2 linked regions of the Arabidopsis thaliana genome follow. The protein of the gene in region 1 interacts with the protein of each later gene in a pairwise test. Each region holds a gene or a part of one and is shown in the gene's direction. Other genes may lie near its edges. The genes, in order: TT2 and TTG1.

Region 1 (3,808 bases):
ATGTATTGTATGACCACATATACAAAGTATAGGACGTCATGTGGTTAACACCATAGACATACAATTCCGATAAACCGGTCAGTTGACTCCGGCGTTGACTAGGGTTGACCGGCGTTGACCAACAAAAAAATTCAAAAAAATCTTTTAAATTATTTTAAATATTCAAAAATACAAAATATTTTTTTTTTGGTTTTGTATATTCAAAAACATATTCTATATTTCAATGCATTAAATCTTAGAAAAATTAGTTTTACAAAAAAAATCAAAATTTAACTAAAAATAGATTAAAAATCATTATTAAATTTTAAATTTTAAATGAAAACAGGAAAATATTATTATAGTTAATTAAGTAAGGAAATTGCTTATTTTTATAGTGTCAATTAAAACACTTCAATTATTTCTATACAATATTTTTTATAAAAAAAAATCAACCACAAAAATTATTAGAATAAAACGTAATACAAATGAATTTTATTTTAAAAACTTTTTTGCTGAAATCAACATTGTTAGATTTTCTATCTTTTTATATATTAAAAAGAAAAATTGCAAGTTTTTGGTTGTTTATGTGTTACTACGAGAACTTTTCTTAATAATATTTGTTACAAAAGGAACTACATAGTATACAAAAATAAATTTAGACTAAAGAGTATATAAAAAATATTATAATTTTCTTTACCATGCAAACTTTAGATTAAAGAGTCATATACTCAATTTCATATTGCTTCCTAATACAATTGAGTATATGACTCTTTAATCTAAAGTTTAATAATGATTTTTATTCTAGTTTTAGTTTAGTTTTGAAATTAAAAATAAAACTAATTATTATAAGATTTAATGCATTGAAAATACAAATATATTTTTACGAAATATAGAATATGTTTTTGAATATATAAAAGAAAAAAAATATTTTCGTATTTTTGAGTATTAAAAATAATTTTAAATTTTTTTGTTGGTCAACGCCGGTCAACACTAGTCAAAGCCTGAGTCAACTGACCGGTTTACCGGAATTGTATGTCAATGGTGTTAACCACATGACGTCCTATACTTCATATATGTGGTCATGTAATACATCTACTTCGTGTCTACTTCGTGTAGCTGGATATACAATGTATAGTAGGTATGTGTGACCATGTATTCTCTTATACTTTGTTTACCTAGCAATCTTTTTTTTAAATTAAAATAAATATGCGGTTTAGATATGAAACTACCCAACAAATTTAACATTTTAAACGTTCATAACGTAAAACGACGTCGTTATAGACACATATTTTCCATGTGTCTGCTGACTTATCATCTTCACGGAGTTGACTAACACCCGTTACTTTGACTCTGAATTTTGTACTTTTTCTTAAGTTGAGGTATGAAATTCAAATAAATATGCGGTTAATATATGAAAATACCCAACAAATTTTTTTGGATACGAAAATACACTCAGAAAATAGTACGGGTATGAAAATACCCTTTTCCCGTATTTGATACATGTCTAATTCGGTTCAAATAAACCGAATATGAAAATTTTCAGTTTTATTTCGGAAGTTAAATAAATCTAGATAACCGACCTGAAAAACCCGAGTCCCGACCGAACCGAACCGAAATTAAATTCGGTTTAATTCGGAAGCATTTCCAAAAACCGAAATTCCCTAAAACCGAATAACCCGACCCGATTAAACCGATTTGCCGAACTCCCAGGCCTAAATTCACACTTGGCTTAGAAAAACTCTTTGTAGATGTTAAAATTCGGTAAAATTAACCTCACCAAAGCTAATTATTACCAGGTGAAGAAAGCATTAAAATTTCAAAGTGTGTATGACAGAGGTTTTAGAAAGCGACTGATGTACGGACATATCAACAACTCCCCTATAAAGATACTCAGCTAAACACAAAAACAGAATCTATTCTCAACACAACACTAAAGACAATTGTACCAACCACACAACCACAAGAGAGAGAAAAGTGAGAATGGGAAAGAGAGCAACTACTAGTGTGAGGAGAGAAGAGTTAAACAGAGGAGCTTGGACTGATCATGAAGACAAGATCCTTAGAGATTACATCACCACTCACGGCGAAGGCAAATGGAGCACTCTCCCTAACCAAGCTGGTACTAATCTCTCTATCTACCGATCCGTCTTTATATCTTCTACGTACAATAATTGTCTTGGCACACATAAAAGGTCTCAAGAGGTGTGGCAAAAGCTGTAGACTTCGGTGGAAGAACTACCTAAGACCGGGGATAAAGCGCGGTAACATCTCATCTGATGAAGAAGAACTCATAATCCGTCTCCATAATCTTCTTGGAAACAGGTTTTTCACTAACCACATAGAATTTTCTTTTTGTAGTAAAGTTATTTGTTATGTGACATTATAATTAAAGCAGATGGTCGTTGATAGCTGGGAGGCTTCCAGGCCGAACAGACAATGAAATAAAGAATCATTGGAACTCAAACCTCCGCAAAAGACTTCCCAAAACTCAAACCAAGCAACCAAAACGTATAAAACATTCGACGAACAACGAGAATAATGTATGTGTTATACGTACAAAGGCGATTAGGTGCTCAAAGACTCTTCTCTTCTCGGATCTCTCTCTTCAGAAGAAGAGTAGTACTAGTCCACTACCTCTGAAAGAACAAGAGATGGATCAAGGTGGATCTTCGTTGATGGGAGATCTCGAATTCGATTTCGATAGGATCCATTCGGAGTTTCACTTCCCGGATTTGATGGATTTTGATGGTTTGGACTGTGGAAACGTTACATCTCTTGTTTCATCTAACGAGATTTTGGGAGAGTTGGTTCCTGCTCAAGGTAATCTCGATCTCAATAGACCTTTCACTTCTTGTCATCATCGTGGCGACGATGAAGATTGGCTCCGAGACTTCACTTGTTGAGCCTATATTGCAAAAACCTACGTTAATACATATTTCTCTATACGGACAAAAGTATATCTGTATTTGTCTGAACGCTTCTAATTACTAACTTACTAAGGAGACCAAGAAATACAAATAATTATACGATCCACATGTTATAGAAATGGGTTTTGTCTTTAACTAATAATTTTTTATTATTGCAAATACGTACGACATAAATATTTTTGATAGATTTTGTAAATTTATGTATGAGCAAATGATAGAGCTTTTATTATAACCTAACCACCGCTTAACCACCCAACCTATAAATTCTACTTGTGAATTATTGGTAATACGAATCAACTTTACAATTTTGTTATTACGAAATATTACTAGAATATACATGTATAGTCTATTTATAGGCAGGCATAGTCATTAATGTAAGGAATTTGTTCTTCTCATTTTTGGAATCATCGTATAAATAAATACTAGATGCATGGTTGTTCTAAGTCATGTGCCAGTACATATTTGAAAAACAAAACAAAGGAATATTCCGGATTTTCCCCCTATCTCCTGTATTTTATGGGTACAATTTAGAAGTTTATGTATTTTAAGGATACTAAAAAATCATGTATTTTATTGGACATCAAAAAGTGTTTGTATTTTAAAGGAAACTAGATTCTGACCCGCACATACGTGCGGGGTTTCATATTTTAAGAAATGTATTAGAATACATTTTTAGTGAAAGATATTGTAGTGTATAAATTATAATGTGCATAGAAAAGTGTATAGTGTTATTTATGATATAATAACTAAATTTTTTTTATTAATTTATATTATTTATATTTCATTTGTGTTTTGCATAGTAAATCGAATGTTAGATTTGTTTTGATTTGCGGAATAATATAGAGATATTTGGAAAATCTGTGTATTTTTGTTAGTTTGATGTATATACAAATGAATTGTTT
Region 2 (4,961 bases), 5.4 Mb from region 1:
CCATAAAATACCCCATCAGTATTTAATTTAAACCAGCCCATAGACGAGATAAGCCATTTTATCAGCTTCTCAACCCGACCAGCCCTTTGTGTTGCCTTTCCGCTACTAGCTCTCGCCTCCAATACCTCCTTAGCTAACTCTCTTATGAACCGCACCCTATTCTTCCATACTTTATTCTCCCCAAAAACTAGCTAATTGAATTACCAACATTTGATCAAGATAATATACTAGGTAGCTAATTAATGAGCTCATTTTTTTTTGTCGTCAATGGGCTAATTTATTAATTACAGTATGAACTATTGACTATTATTCTAAATAAGTGAATATCACGAGTATGTACGAATTATTGGATGTATCTATTTGTATTGATTGATGTAATATCAAATAGTATGAATTTGGAGTAAACGTGGGTTTGGGGTTGAAGCAGGTAGGGCATGTCAAAGTAGGGCGTCTTTCGTTATGTCCCTTTCCTCTAAATTTGAACCTCTGTCATTGTACAGAAAAATCGTAATAACCCATAAATGTGTTTTAAAAAACATTATTTCGAGTTTTCTACACATATTCTAGTCATGTTTAATTTGAATCTTTTCTTATTTAAGTAAGCTTTAGACATTTTTAACCTAAGTTTTCTTCTCCCTTCATAAATTTTGAGATCTATATAATGTTCTTACATTTTGGATCAAGATCTTCATATTCTCATTCCAATTAGTAAAAGATTTTTTCACCTTTTAATCTCTTATCTTTTATTTATATTCTTTAGTTATGTTTATGCTTTTCATCATATTTAGTGGTTAGTTTTTATTATTTATTTATTGATTCATGACTTATGCTAGATTATGATAAGAATTTATGTTACCACTTGATAAATCCTCCATTTGACATGTGTTTAATGCTAGATTTATATTGTCTCCAAATTTACAACTTCGATGTCTTATGATAAATGCCAACAACCAAATTTCAGATAAAGATTAGCAGACTAACTAAGCTTATTATTCACTTGCAAGGTGGAGTGATGTTGAAAGAACCCTCACAGACACGTCATTGGGAAGACTAAATCTCTTTTTAGCACGTTACACCTTTGAGATCGCGTTTATTCCATATGGAGAGAGAGCAACAATACGAGACATGGAGAGGCACCATTACCGCCGGCGCAACTGCTTCCAAATATTGACAAACAAATTTGAATCTGGATCTTCTCTATTCGTGAACAAGGAGATAGAAGCTACGATGAATGCATGGAAGCTTGGTTTGCTTTAATATAAACACTAAAGGGGAGTAGAACTTTCTTGAAAAATTGTATGCAAATTATTTACCGAATGTTAAAAGCTTTTTTCGAATAAATTTTACATTTTCTTAATAATAATAATAAAAAAGGATTGTTGATTATCTTAATCACAAACAATTTATTTTAGCTGAATTAGACAATTGTTAGTAAAATGATTAGAGTGTCACATATTAATGTTGTTAGTGTTTCATGTCATCCTAGTGATCCAATAATTAGGCCATTCTATAGCTCTTAACGTTAAAATAAAAGGCCCATTATCTGAATATACAGAAGCCCATTATCAATAGATACATTAAAAGATACTGATTAATCCAGAGGGTTTATATCTACGCCGTCTCCATTGATTATTTCTCCGTCTCTTGAAAAATCCGACTGACACTGACCTCAAAACTCTCCTCTCACTTTCGTCGTGAAGAAGCCAAATCTCGAATCGAATCAGCACCACACATTTCCATGGATAATTCAGCTCCAGATTCGTTATCCAGATCGGAAACCGCCGTCACATACGACTCACCATATCCACTCTACGCCATGGCTTTCTCTTCTCTCCGCTCATCCTCCGGTCACAGAATCGCCGTCGGAAGCTTCCTCGAAGATTACAACAACCGCATCGACATTCTCTCTTTCGATTCCGATTCAATGACCGTTAAGCCTCTCCCGAATCTCTCCTTCGAGCATCCTTATCCTCCAACAAAGCTAATGTTCAGTCCTCCTTCTCTCCGTCGTCCTTCCTCCGGAGATCTCCTCGCTTCCTCCGGCGATTTCCTCCGTCTTTGGGAAATTAACGAAGATTCATCAACCGTCGAGCCAATCTCGGTTCTCAACAACAGCAAAACGAGCGAGTTTTGTGCGCCGTTGACTTCCTTCGATTGGAACGATGTAGAGCCGAAACGTCTCGGAACTTGTAGTATTGATACGACGTGTACGATTTGGGATATTGAGAAGTCTGTTGTTGAGACTCAGCTTATAGCTCATGATAAAGAGGTTCATGACATTGCTTGGGGAGAAGCTAGGGTTTTCGCATCAGTCTCTGCTGATGGATCCGTTAGGATCTTTGATTTACGTGATAAGGAACATTCTACAATCATTTACGAGAGTCCTCAGCCTGATACGCCTTTGTTAAGACTTGCTTGGAACAAACAAGATCTTAGATATATGGCTACGATTTTGATGGATTCTAATAAGGTTGTGATTCTCGATATTCGTTCGCCGACTATGCCTGTTGCTGAGCTTGAAAGACATCAGGCTAGTGTGAATGCTATAGCTTGGGCGCCTCAGAGCTGTAAACATATTTGTTCTGGTGGTGATGATACACAGGCTCTTATTTGGGAGCTTCCTACTGTTGCTGGACCCAATGGGATTGATCCGATGTCGGTTTATTCGGCTGGTTCGGAGATTAATCAGTTGCAGTGGTCTTCTTCGCAGCCTGATTGGATTGGTATTGCTTTTGCTAACAAAATGCAGCTCCTTAGAGTTTGAGGTGAGAGTTTCTGTTTCGCTACATAATTCTCATTTGCTAGGCCTAGATTCTAATGAGGAAGCATTGATTATTGGTTTAGATTGTGTTGCATTACAGATAGTCTTCTAGGTTTGGTAACTAAACGTTTTTTCGATTCTTGATAACAAAGCCACTAGAGATTTGACACTAACTCGTTTTAGATTTACCTGAATCAATATCTCTGTTAAAATCAATTACTTTGTTATGCATACATAAATCACAGTTTAGTAGTCATATATATTGGCTCTTATTAGCGACAGGTCTCACACTTGCTGTAATGGCTGATAGTGTAGTAGTCATATGTTGGCTTTCATCTAAGTTGATGTATCATATGATGAATAGTTGTACACTCGTCAGGTTCTAATTTTTACCCATAATTCTTCAGTCTATTTTTTTTTGAGACAATCTATTCTTAATTTAACGAAGCCACTAGCTACGTATACAAATATTGTTAATTTAACGAAGTATCTGAGAATTGTTTACTGCTGACTGTGCTGTATGCCCTCAGAAACATATAGAAGTGGAATTGGAAACTTCATGCTGGTTTGAACATCTTTGTATGTGTGCTTCAGGTTTTTGTAACTCATTTAGACAACAGCATTGCATATATACACGCACATATGCAACCTAGAAAATCAAATAACCTTTCCTTATAATTACTATACATTTCACTTGATGTCAGGTGCAGATGTGAAGTGATCAATAAGGATTTTAGCATAGACCCGTATAATCGTCATGTGCGTAAGTAGGTTTGGTTTGCGCTCCCTCTCGCTTTTAGGTCCGCAATGACTCTGTATCTATCTGATTGTAACTAAAACTGAATTCATTTGATGAACCAAATGATACTATTATCTTATGTTGTGTATAAAACCCAACCAGGATATATTGCGGTTTCTGGTGTTTAGATTTGGTAATTGGAGCTTAGTACAATGCAACCCTGTCTTGCTTTATTGGACGTCTCTAAGATAAATCAGCTTGCAATGAATTCCAATGGAGTTTGTCAGTTTGAATTAACTTCTTTGCATAATTAACACAAAGATTTGCAGTATAAATTCCATTGGAAGACTTATTTGTTTATTTGACACAGATTTAAATTGAATTTCAATGGAGTTTCAGTCGACTATGTGACACAAAGATTTGAAATGAACTCCAATGGGAATTTGGTGAGTAAATTATTATAAACAATCCAATGTTTGACACAAATATTTTAGAATCTTCACATCTGAAGTCTTATAAATCGTAGCAAAATTTTCAATCTTGAAAATTATAAAAAATGAGAATTAATTTAAATCACTGATCCGATAATCTCCTCTAGAAATATAAGAATCTATAAACCATTAATAGTAGAATTCCAAAATGTTATAAATCTATATACTATAAATGAAAATTTTACTTTTTAACTTTTGTCTCCATAATATCATACCATACTTAAAATTTTATTTATTTTATTCTAATAATCACAATGTGTTTCTTTGTATATAAATAGAGTTTTTCTAATGGTTTGAGAAGTGATTTGGAAAACATGGATACTCATATTTTTTTCAATTTATAAGATGATCAAAATAGAAAATTTAGCTTATGAAATCTTTTAGATTTAGGAACAAATGTATACTCTAAAATGTAACTATTTGACATGTGTCAAAATGTTTTTAAATTTGTTGTGATCTTGTTACAATTAAGATCAAGCTACTTGTCAGATTTTATGTGATGGGTTAAATTTTACAAAATTCTAGCCCAAATATAAAATACCTACGTCCTCAAAACTTAAAATGCAAGCGATAATAATACAACTTAGAGTACAAAGAGGTTAAAGGTAGATAGAATGTCGACCAGTGAGCTCGCCTGCACTTATGCTGCTCTCATCCTCCACGATGATGGAATCGAGATCACCGTTAGTTTTCTTCTCTTCTCTCTTTCTTCAAATTTGTTTTCTAGCTATTGAGACACTGTTTAGCCTATGTTTTAGTCTCTAGAATCGTCATCTCTCTTTTCTTGCCTTGTGGTTTCAAACTGATCTCACTTAAGTGTTGTAATAATGTAAAATTATTAGGCTGAGAACATATCAAAACTGGTGAAAACAGCCAACGTGAATGTCGAGTCATACTGGCCTAGCCTCTTTGCTAAGCTATGTGAGAAGAAGAACATCGACGATCTCATCATGAATGTAGGAGCCGGTGG

Evidence for each region.
Region 2: the proteins of TT2 (region 1) and TTG1 interact in a two-hybrid assay, tested with the Arabidopsis thaliana proteins (one study listed by BioGRID).

What each region holds. Positions count from the first base shown.
Region 1 is NC_003076.8:13,724,848-13,728,655, forward strand, and holds TT2 (Duplicated homeodomain-like superfamily protein), read left to right. Parts: upstream 1-1,895; 5' UTR 1,896-1,959; coding exon of another isoform or gene 1,960-2,023; coding exon 2,024-2,301; intron 2,302-2,374; coding exon 2,375-2,882; 3' UTR 2,883-3,114; downstream 3,115-3,808. UniProt on the Arabidopsis thaliana protein: Transcription activator, when associated with BHLH2/EGL3/MYC146, BHLH12/MYC1, or BHLH42/TT8. Involved in the control of flavonoid late metabolism in developing siliques.
Region 2 is NC_003076.8:8,369,511-8,374,471, reverse strand, and holds TTG1 (Transducin/WD40 repeat-like superfamily protein), read left to right. Parts: upstream 1-1,624; 5' UTR 1,625-1,738; coding exon 1,739-2,764; 3' UTR 2,765-2,765; intron 2,766-3,291; exon of another isoform or gene 3,292-3,340; intron 3,341-3,465; 3' UTR 3,466-4,155; downstream 4,156-4,961. Other genes in the region: AT5G24510 (60S acidic ribosomal protein family), read left to right, coding at 4,606-4,674, 4,834-4,961.